Linked DNA regions of Tamandua tetradactyla. The protein of the gene in region 3 interacts with the protein of the main gene of each other region in a pairwise test. Links are inferred from orthologs where the notes say so. Each region holds a gene or a part of one and is shown on either strand. Other genes may lie near its edges. The genes, in order: SH3RF2, LRRC7 and HOMEZ.

What was found.
Region 1: the proteins of HOMEZ (region 3) and SH3RF2 interact in a two-hybrid assay, tested with the Homo sapiens proteins (2 studies listed by BioGRID). The two-hybrid records come from large-scale screens. The link is inferred for Tamandua tetradactyla from reciprocal best matches to the Homo sapiens genes HOMEZ and SH3RF2.
Region 2: the proteins of HOMEZ (region 3) and LRRC7 interact in a two-hybrid assay, tested with the Homo sapiens proteins (2 studies listed by BioGRID). The two-hybrid records come from large-scale screens. The link is inferred for Tamandua tetradactyla from reciprocal best matches to the Homo sapiens genes HOMEZ and LRRC7.

The regions. Positions count from the first base shown.
Region 1 is NC_135346.1:26,408,670-26,412,418, forward strand, and holds the start of SH3RF2 (E3 ubiquitin-protein ligase SH3RF2), read left to right. Parts: upstream 1-813; 5' UTR 814-972; intron 973-2,031; exon of another isoform or gene 2,032-2,070; 5' UTR 2,071-2,176; coding exon 2,177-2,554; intron 2,555-3,749. UniProt on the Homo sapiens protein: Has E3 ubiquitin-protein ligase activity. Acts as an anti-apoptotic regulator of the JNK pathway by ubiquitinating and promoting the degradation of SH3RF1, a scaffold protein that is required for pro-apoptotic JNK activation.
Region 2 is NC_135337.1:56,445,248-56,448,996, forward strand, and holds the start of LRRC7 (leucine-rich repeat-containing protein 7), read right to left. Parts: upstream 2,733-3,749; 5' UTR 2,692-2,732; coding exon 2,690-2,691; intron 1-2,689.
Region 3 is NC_135340.1:31,586,523-31,590,271, reverse strand, and holds the start of HOMEZ (homeobox and leucine zipper protein Homez), read right to left. Parts: upstream 2,592-3,749; 5' UTR 2,517-2,591; coding exon 2,459-2,516; intron 1-2,458. UniProt on the Homo sapiens protein: May function as a transcriptional regulator.

The DNA.
Region 1 (3,749 bases), on a different chromosome or scaffold from region 3:
AAAGCTATATCACCACTTAACTTAGTAAAGAGCACAGAATACCAGTCTTTTACTGGCTGTGACTCCTGACATAAGTTATCTAACTTCAAAGTGAAAGTAAAGAAGGGTATAGTGTATCATAGGAATTTTTGGAGGATTAAATGGGGTAATAAAGGTAAAGCACTTAGAACGGTTCCGGGCCCAGGAAAAGGATAGCCTAATGTTAGGTGGTATTATTATTATTATTATTATCTATTTATTCTACTTGGATATCTTTGTAACTTTCCATGAAATGTATTAGCGATGAGCCAAGAAATATAAGTATTATTTAGGGACATAAAAAGACTACAGTGGGGGGAACAGCAGAGAGCTGGAGCGCATTGCTTTTCCGTAAAAAAAAACTCTTCTGTACACTTTATTTTTCAAGGATATGTATGTACTACTGGGACATTTTTAAAATTATTATTCTTTGAAGAGACGGAGTATATTGAAAGAGTTTATCAGAGGTACCATTAATATTTCTGCCCATTTCAGAGAAATCCTTGTAAAGTTTTTTGTGTTTTTTTTAAAACCGCACAATCACGTTGGCATAACTGAACACGTTTTAACTCGCCTTGGAAAGATAAGGCGCAAAGGTAAAAACATAAAACTTTGGAAATACTTGGCCTGGGGGGCTGGCTTACGTACTATCTCATAACCGCTTCCCAGAAATCCACCCAGTTCCGTAAAGGAAGGTTCCGTAGCAGAAAGCGAAGCCCTCCTGGGGGGGCGGGGCGGGGGTGGGGGGAGGAGAGTCCTGCCGGCGCGGCAGCCGGGCGGTGAGCGCGGTAATAGTGCTGCGTAAGGCGATCCCTCGAGTTGAGTAAGACTCCGAGTTGTTCAAGTTTTCCAGGCGGCCGCGGCGGCACTGGGGGGTGAGGAAGCGAGTCGCCGGGAGCGCGGCGGAGCGGACAAGCGAGCCGAGCTGAACTCCGCCGAGGTCACTCGCGCAAGGTTAGTGGCAGCGCGCTGGTCCCCAGCCCGCTGGTCCCCAGCCCGCCCGCGCCTGGCATCCTTGGAGAGGTGGCCGAGGAAAGCGAGGCGCCATCTCTCATGTGTACCGTCCGCCGTGCTTACTGGTGGGGCCTTCCTGGCTGCAGCGTTCACCCATACCTGGGCACGTGTGAAGGACTGCTGACTCTTTCCGAGGAGACTTTCCTAAGCTGGAGACTTCTTCTCAGGCGTCCACAGGGAAACTGTTCCTGAAACAGGGGTTCTTTACACACGCGCGCGCGCGCAGGCATACCTGCCGCACCTGTATGTTCTGTTCCATCCTGGGTTTTTGCAGGTTGCGGGCACAGTCCTGAATCCCTACCTGCTTCAGTTGAAATTGAAAACACTTGTCAGAGTAACTCAACAGGCTGTGCCACCTTACATTGCCGGGAGGAATCTTGTCTCTAAGGCTGTTTAAGACAATCTTGGTGAGCAGGCAAAGAAAGGGAGAGAGAGAGAGAGGAAAGCTCCCAGGTCGAGGCAAAACAATTTTGAAAATGGGTTGCTAGTAGAGATTTCTCTTGTACATTGTTAGATGAAAAATAATGGGGGAAGATGTATTGTGAAGGGAATAATTCTACATCTGATGTGATTCAGATAAACTTACCCACATCAACTAAACTTACCTGCATGTGGCGCAGATAATAGATTAACCTGGAGAGAGAAGGAGTAGATCTCTTCACAGAAATTACATTCTGGAGGGGCTCTGATTTGAGAATTGAGAGTGTCTGAGTGCTTTACCCAGATTTTAAAGGACCCCCTCCCAGCCCAGACTGGCAGAGAAGAGGGGGTGTGCCACTTCAGCAGGCCATTTTTGCTCTCTGCCTTTCCACACAGAGAGCCTGTGCGCAGTCTCTGCTGAATGCTGCTGGCTCCTGTTCCTTGCAGCAGGCAGGAGTCCTGTACCTGCTAGCACTGAATCAGAATGAGTCATTTGAAACTTGGGTGCCGGAACAAAGTACTTGCAAACTGCCTTATGAGACATTGCCTCAATGTAGGTGGGATATACATCTCAGAGCAGTCACAGTTCTATCCTCCCTTCTTTTCCCCTTCAAACAGGCAGGAAATCTGAGGCTCTGGAGAGACCGGCACTGCCCCCTCAGCTCGGCTGCCCCTACAATGTGGATGCTGCCCCTTCAGGTCAGGACTGGAGTGTTAAAATAAAATGGATGATGTGACGTTACTTGATCTTTTGGAGTGCCCTGTGTGTTTCGAAAAGCTCGATGTCACAGCCAAAGTCCTCCCTTGCCAGCACACCTTCTGCAAACCATGTCTACAGAGGATTTTCAAGGCCCGCAAAGAGCTGAGGTGCCCAGAATGCAGGACCCTGGTCTTCTGCAGCATCGAGGCGCTGCCAGCCAACCTGCTGCTCGTGCGTCTTCTGGACGGTGTGCGCTCAGGGCAGAGCTTGGGCAGAGGGGGCCACTTACGCAGGCCTGGCGTGTGGAGCCTGCAGGACAGCCCGAAAAGCAGGGCCAGCCCCCGAGGACTGCAGTCCGGCACTTTCCGGCTGGTGCCCAATATCAGGATCCACATGGATGGGGTAAGAGAGATCTTATTTGTTAGTATCGTGTCCATGTGGAGGTTGGATTTGTGTTTACCCAGAGTTGGGAAGGATCTTCTTGGAGTTGCACTTCCAAGAATGTTTGCGGTTGGTTCCCTACTAAGTTTCTGGGATCAGCGATCACTTTTCTGAAGTGTAGGTAGAATCCTAAGCCTGTCTAATCAGTCTGAGAATTCTCCTTAGAAGTGAGCATTTATTGAAGCCTCCCTAGGTGGTTCCTGTTTCTTGTACTGAAGGCGGCAGGACAAGGAAGGCCTCCCTGATTATGTTTTTGTCTTTCCCTTCTCTTGTTCTGAGGCCAAACTCGTGCATGGGAAATGTATGGAGGGTAGGAAAAAGAGAGAAAAACAAATCCAGCTGCTTGTTGCCTTTGAGATCTCTGAGAAATTTCCAATTTCAGGTTTTATTTTAATTTTACCCAAATCTGTCTTCCCACTCCCAATCATAAAGTGCCATTATGACAATGCTCATTCATAAACTGTTTGAAGCTATCAAGATACTTGACACTCAAAAATCGTGAAGGAGGGAAGCGTGTATGTGGGTGTACTGATTGATAGCAAATCCGGGCCATGAAATACAATGGATGTGTACAAGAGCCCTGCAGATGGATCTTACTTGACAAAATGAATAAGCCACGCATGAAATACATGCTAGGGGCTACAATAAAAAATGAATGGACATGGTAGAGCTGTACCGGAGATTGTCCGGTAATATTTTTGGTGTTTTAATAATACAAATCCATCTGTCCAACCCTGCAAGCACACCCTGTGGACTTTATCTGAACTGACTGTGAACCTTGCTATGGGATGCTTTGTAAGAGCACATCTCGAGAGAAGAATGTGGTCCTTGTGAGTCCAAAATAATTATTTGCACTGTCACCCCTGGAGTCAGTGTGCCAAAGTGAACATGGAAAGCTATGGCCTGGGTCATTGCATGTTTAGAATATCAAAGCTGCATTCTGTGAAGTCGTGCTGGTGAGCAAGCTATAAAGCTTTACTACTGACAGTAGAGTCCCATGACTCCCTGCTATTACAAGTGACAGTGTGTATGTGTGTGTGTGTGTGTGTGCGTGTGTGTAGAGAGGGGCTGGGCTTTCACGGATCCCTTCCCCACTCTGGAGAACAGGCCTGTGATGGGCATTCAGAACAAACTCATTTTCCTTCCAAAAACTCAA
Region 2 (3,749 bases), on a different chromosome or scaffold from region 3:
AAAAGAAAGGGTTATGATAATTTAATTAATAAAATTTAATTCCATCCCAAAGCAGTGCAAAAAAAAAATCTGAATAAATCGTGACTACTTTAATTGGCCAGGTTTCCTTTCTTTAAGGAGTTGTTTCTAATTCTGAAGCTGCATATGTGCAGTCACACGTGATGGAGAATGTAGGGGTTGCCATGGTAAGTACACATCTTTTCTTGGACAGCCAAGTCTAAAAATGCATAAAGAAACTCTCACCTCATATGATACCATGGAAATTGACTCTGCTTTCCCTAGCATGACATATTGTATGATGCAATGCAGCATAGACAGAAATAGCCTACATTTTAAAACTTCAGCCCATTAAGATGGCTTATAAAACCTGATGGGAAGAGAAATTAAAAAAGCAAATCTACAAGCCAGGTAATGCTAATTAAGCAGTAGTTTTGGACACAAATTCCACTTCCATTAAACTGCCAAATCATCAGACTTCAGGACATTCCACAGGCCTGAGAGAGCTCCAGGAGTCCAAACGCAGACATCACTGAACATCAACCCCAATGTACTTTAGTCCTATAACTCTTATTTTTAAGGAAAATAAAATTATTCCTATATCTCTACTTTCTCATTCTCTCCCGGGTGCCATCAACGGTTTGCAAGAAGCAGTGACATGCCTCCACTATACTGCTTTCTTTAAAAAGATCTCCTGGTGGCTGACTTAGAGTCCTGGAAGTCAGCTTTCAAGACGCCTCCCTGGATGGAGGCGTGACACCTGGACTGGGGAGGTGGCAGAATCTATTGCGAACCGCAGCAGGTTCTTAGGAGCTGGAGAACCCACGTGTGCATGGACTGGAGAACTTTTTAACCGCCTCTCCCAAAGGGAATGCCTCATTTTAAATAGGGCTCTGGATGGGGCGGCTGGAGGGAGGTGGGGAAAGGGCACTGACGGAAGATTACAAGCCCTTTGCAGATATATCTACCTGGGCTTCTCTTCCTGTGACTCTCGCCTTCGGCCAACTTCGTTATTTTTTCCTTTTACAGGAGGAAAGCAACCTGGATGCCGAGCATCTCATAGGCTCAGCTTGAAACAAAGAAAATCGAATTCCTAATACTGTATCTCTCTCGTTAGAGAGATCACGTGTCCTGCTCTCGCTGGAATGCACTCTCCTCGCCCACGCTACAAAATCTCTATTGTGCTTAGAAATTTTGCCCAGGTTAAATACGCTCACATACAAATTGCTTTTTCATCTATCAGGAGAGCCACATTTCAGCATATACAGGTACACATATACGTGCTGACCCAGTTAGCACTGCAGGGTAATTGGATGTGTTGAAAATGCATTGGGAAAGTAACCGAAAAGAGCAGGTGGAGGACTTGTGTGTCTTACTGATCCCCTTTTTTTTCTCATTCCTCTTGAAGGTGAGCTACGAAAGGAGCGTGGGAGTTGCAGATGGTTGCCTTCGAAAACGATTACCAGGAGTTGTGAAAGTGACCCCAACCCTACTCCGACTTGCCTTGGGCCCTCTATCCCAGCCCTGTCGCTTTGTGACTTGTTGGGGAGGAGAAAGAGAGGGAGGAGTGGGCGGAGGCGGGTCCTTTATTCAGCCCTGATGGCTGAGAAGTAGTGTAATGAAGCAATTTTGCAAGCATCTCCGTTATTATGAAGTCACGCTATTTTTCAAAAGCAATCAGTTGAGCCCCCACTCCCCATCCCCTTTCATGACTGCAAACATAAAGACTAGAGACCACCGGTGGCCAATCTAATTGTCTGTGAGCCAGGGTGCCATGATTACCGTAATGCTAATGTGCTTCCCTCCCTCTTTTCACGTAAGACCTGAACTGCGTCCTGCATCCTTAATGACTCCAGAGGAAGACGCAAAATGCTGAAGGGAGCCCAGCGCTGCAACTGGGAATAGTCCAGGTTCACCGGCTTCGCGGTGCAACACAAAGGAGCTGTGGGGGCAGGAGTTGTCTAAGCTTAGGGGGCAGGAGGCATCGTTCTCGCTGACTCTCAGTGAAAGCTTTCACTCCATCGCTCCCCACTTCAGTCTGTCCTCCAGTCTTTCATGCACCTTCGTCCCCCACTATCCCCCCAACCCCCACCCCTTCTCTCGAATCCCCAATGACATAAGGATCTTCTAAATGTATTTTTCAAACAGATATCAAGTCAGTAATACAATACCTTCTAGAAAAAAAGGGCGACTGAGACCTGCCACAAGTGTGTGTGAGTTTACGGGTGTGTGTGTGTGTGTCATGATCAAACAATTGCTTCATCTCTGAGACACCTCCAGGAAAAAGGCTGACTGGAGATACCCGAGATAATAAAGAGGAGCTAAGCCTAACCTCAGCACGACAAACAGTCCCAGCGCCAATGCCCAACACTAGCCCTTTTCCTTCTTTTTCGCAGTATGTAACCCTTTAGGGTCCCCTCCCAGCCCAGGCTACTCGGCGTTCCCATGCACCCACACAAGTAGCACCCTATTTCTGAATGCCCCGCAACCTACCTCCCACATCACCGCCACCTCCGCCGACAACCGAGCCAGCAGCTCCCAGAGAGCGCGGGAGACTCCCACCCTGCCCACCCACCCCGCCCCCGGCCGGCCGCTCGGGTCCCCCACCTCGCGCGCCTACGATCGCTGCGGCCGGAGGCGGCGAGGCCCCCGCAGAGCCCCCTCGGCCACCGCGCGAGGGTGTACTACTCACATAGCAGGCGGGAGAAGCAGCCCATGTGGTTCTCGAGAGCCGTGCAAGCTGCAAGGGTTATTCCTTAAAGTGTTCCGGCGTCCGCAGTGAAGTGGGCGCGAGGGTCCTCGGAGGAGGAGGAGGAGGACGGCAGAAGAGGAGGAAGAAGAAGAGGAGGAAAATAAGGGGATCCCAGGCGGTGCCACGTTAGACCACGACGCCGGTGCCCTTCAGGTGGACGGCTGAAGAGGTTCCCGCCATGAGCCGCCGAGGGAAAGCCCGAAGCGCCAGCGGGAGAAGCGGGCGCGCGTCCACTCCCCAGCCTCCGCCAGCCCTGCGCGCCGCGCTAGCGACCGCAGAAGCGGCAGCGGCGGTGGCGGAGGCGCAGCTTCGTCCCCACCCCCCAGAAGGCTCCACAGACAATAAATCCTGGGCGGAGAAGAGACGAGCAGGAAAGCCGAATCGTGCACCCAACTCCGAGCCGCCCCCCCTACCCCTGCCGGCTGCCGAGCCTCTGCGGGGCGAGGATCCCCGGGGGCCGGGGCGCAGCCGGCGGCTCGGAGGGGCCGTGCGCTCCCGCGGCTGCAGGCGGCGGCGTTGGCCTGAGTGGGCGGCTTCGGGTGCCGCCGGCGAGAACCCGCCGCCCAAGGGCTGGGTGTCCGTGGCGTCAGGCCCGGGGTTCGCCGGGACCGGGGATCTCCTCGGTGCAGTGGCTCCGCGCACAGGTGCCAGGATTGGCAGGCGAGGAGGCGCTGCTCCAGGCTCTTGGCTGTGTCTCCCGCTCTCCCCGCCCCCCCACCCCCCTCCTCTCTCTCTCTCTCTCTTTTTTTTCCACCCTCTTTTCCGACGACACCAGCTGCAGCTGCTTCAAAGTGTGAAAAATGTCAAGGAGATTTTCCAGGGATAGAAGGGGGTGACCACGTCCACAACCCTCAGCCCCTTTTTTGAAATCCTCGCCCGCCCCTCTGACCTCTACTCGGGCTCCCCCAAATTGTGAGAAGAGAATTCCAGTCCGGTCGAGAATTGAAATGCTCGCCTTCTCCCTGCTCCGTCACAGGCTGCCTCTCCAGAGCAGGGCGGG
Region 3 (3,749 bases):
GTTCTAGACCAGACGTTTGTATATTTAGGATCTTTGTCTTCTAATTAAAATTTAGGAATAATATCTTTCAGAAGTGTCCCTTCTTTTCTCATGTGGGGCTTTGAAAATGTCTTTTACCTGTTTAGATGATTTAATAGTTTATATATCTACAATGGTTTATAAAACTGCCTCAAACTTTGCCCTGTGTTCTGCATACCTCAAAACTCTTCCCTCCCCCCGCCCCCCCCCCCCCCCCGACCCACCAGGGAAACATTCCTCATTGGTCCGCTCAGGTCTAGAGCGCTTTCAGAGTTGCCAGACAAATACATCTCTGCTTCAGAGTTGAGCTCCGTTTTCCATTGTTGGCCCTGAATTTTCCCGTCTCTCTCCTCTCCTTAGTTACATTTAGTAACAATATTCACTTCTACCAGCCAGTCCCATGTTCTTCAAACTAATATCCAACAAAAACAATAGAAAACACATACTAAGCTTCAGAGTTAGAAACTTTTGGTCCCTCAGGGAAGGAGCCGAGGTTGGTGGTATAATATACAGACGGTCTTCCAAATCGTGACTATTTCAATACCCCAGTGCTTTGTAACTAACAGGAAGGAAGAGGGAAACGTTTTAGACAGCAGCAGCCTGCAGTTTCCAGTGGGGAGATCATTCCTTTAAATCCAAACAATTAAATGAAACTGTATTGACTGGGAGGAACTCGTGCACATTTGACTGGAAAGCCACGCAACTGGCTGTGGGAACTAAGCACCTGACCCTGACGGGTTCAGTGACTCACTCTGGACATCACTGATCATGGGCTTGGAATTGTGAAAGATGAACAATTCAGCTCCCTTTCTTGTGTCAGAAAGATTACACTTGCCAGAGTTGGGAGTGGAGGGAGAGTCAAAGACAAATTTAGGGAAGAGGAGAATATCTGGAATGCAGGGTGAAGTCTCTTTTATGTAGGTTTCACCCTGAAGCTTTAGAAGATGGCATGGATGGGATGGGGGAGTACAGGGAGGAAAAGGTTCCGTTTGATACTTCAGAGATGGGAGGATCCCACAGTTAGCCAGACAGTAACCCTCCCAGTTTTTCCAGGGATTAGTGTTGAACAAAGGAGATTCATCAGTTCATCTTCATTGTAGAAAGGTCAATCCCCCATTTTAGGTGAAAACATTCTTCCCTTTGCTTGATTCAGATAAGCAGGGGCTAACCAGAGGCATATCTATCCTGTGACTAAGGAAGTTGAAATTTCAGGGCCCACACGTGCACAGGCTGGAAGAGCCCCAGAAATGTGTTCACATGATCATAGGTTTTTGTAAAATCTCAAAATTATATATTTTAACTGCAATTGGCTAAGATTGATGACTCTTTCCTTTCTGATTTCGCCTTCATCCCACTTCCCTTTTTGTCAGGTGGCAATGGAAAGGCCACAAGCATTTGAGAATTGGCTAAGGAAACTGAGTTGGGGATACACCTAGTTTGGATTTAGTAACTATATTTATGTGGTTTGCAGTTCTGTGAATAAATTCTTATGTAGATAGTTTCCAGGAATACTCCTAATGTCATTAATTCAAAGGGCGTATAACATTAGTTAGTCATTGCAAAGGAAAATTTCAAATGCTCTAAAATATTAGATCACATATATAAAAGAAATTTGACAGGTTTTCCCAAAGTTGACTAAAGTCCTAATTATTTGTGACACTACCACTAGGTATGAAAGTGAAACTTTTCTAAACTACCAATAATAATTTTAAAATGTGATCAACCATGGGGCGGTGTGATGGTGGCTCAGTGGCAGAATTCTCACTCTGCCACGCCAGAGACCCAGGTTCGAATCACAGTGCCTGCCCATGCCAAAAAAAAAAAAAAAAGTGATCAACTACAAAAAGATTCAATTAACTCTAGACTTTCCAAACAAAACAACCATCATATGAAATAGCTATCAAAGCACACACAAAAAAGTAGAAAAAATGATATTCTGTAGGTTTACCAAGCAGATAGTTTTTAAAATCTTACTTTTGTGATATTGTGGTATTTGTTAGCTTTCATAATTTGTTGCTATATTTTTTCATTTTGAAACGTTCACTTCTATGCCTAATTGTGTATTAGTAATATGGATTCATTTTTCCTTAAAAGGACCCCCAAAATTATATGCTCCAAGCACCCAAAAATCTGTATCTATCCCTAGGGCACCAAATATATATGGTCAGCTTCTGCCCCACATTTAGGGGACCTCTGGCTCCAATGTTCTATGTCCTGTCTCCTAAGAAAATCCAGAGCCAGAGGGAACTGAGGGCTGACTGATCAGAACTACAAGTATTGAGGATTTGAGCTAACAAACCCAACTTTGAAGAGTCTGTAGAAGATATATTTCAGACAAACCTACTGCCAAACTAAGATGTGAGAAGTCTGGAAAAATATTGGGGCCACAGGGAGACCCTAAGCAATGAGCCATGGAAAGAACCATAGCGCTCCCACTTACCTCTCCTTGGGTACCTGCTCCTCATGCTGACCTTACCCTTCAGCATAACTGGCTTCATTTACAACACATATTGAAGGGTGGATACTCTACAGTGACATCACAACTTGGTCATTATGATGCAATGAGGAAGTATCTCATTTTTCTTTGGCTAGGGTTTCCCTAGTAGGAACATTGTCTCACTACTTTGTGGCTAATTGGGCTCTTTCATCATTCAGTGATGTGGGAGTCAACACTATGTTAGAACATGATCTTTTCCAAGGACTCCTCCCTTTATTAGTCAGTCCACTTCTCATACTCCATTCTGAATTGGTCATAGTTCCTTGACTTTTACCTCTCCATCATATTTCTCATTCTTGCTTTAGAGTTGACCTTAATTATACGGAAATGAGTTTTACTCTTCCTTCCAGTGCTTGCAGAACAGAATTCAACTCAGATGGCCCATACCCAAGGGAAAACACTTTTTTTTCCCACCAAGCTGATCCCTTTAACTGCACCAGTTGCTGGTGTGGGTGCCAGAGAACCAAAGCACTAGATTTCTGAGTCTGATAATTTTCCTGCTACTCAAACGGTAGTGTGATCTTACCGAGGTGTCTTATATCAGGACTGCCCAACTCCTCTATCTCTTTGCCACCCAACTTTTCCATCTACAGAGGAACAGAATGGGAACAGGATTTTAAAGAAATGAGATGACAAAGAAGAAATGGAGGAGGGCATCTTGCCATCTTTAGCCCCAAACAAAGAGTCCTTCTTAATATCTTATTACTTTTTCATATTTCAACTTTATTTCAAAAATGAGTTTTTTTTTTATCTGACAGAGCTGAAATGAAGTCCAGCACTAGTGGGTTTGGACATAGTGGACAGGACTGCACTGGGATGGGGGTGGAGAGGCTCTGTTAAGTGGTTTTCAGGGGTTCACATAACAACTTTCATTTTTCCCCCCCAGGTTAGCTTTCCAACGGGTTGATGCACTGCTCTTTAGTAACGTCACCCAAAAGAGTGCCAAGACTGGGAACACAGTGAAAAGTATATGTCCACTTTGTTTCTCCTCAAGTGAATAGGGGAGGGAATGATGTACCAGCAGAAAATGAAACACGTGTTCATTTATGATGTATCCCTTGTCATGAAAAACAGTGTGTCTGACTGTGTAGAGGCCTATTTCCTAGTCTGGGGATGGGATGTGGTCAGGATGTCTGGGTTTAAGCCCCAACTGAAGCTGCCCTGACAAATTCCCTGACCATTCCCATCTTTGGACCTATGTTCTCATCTGTCCAGATGAAAACTGTTCTCTAAA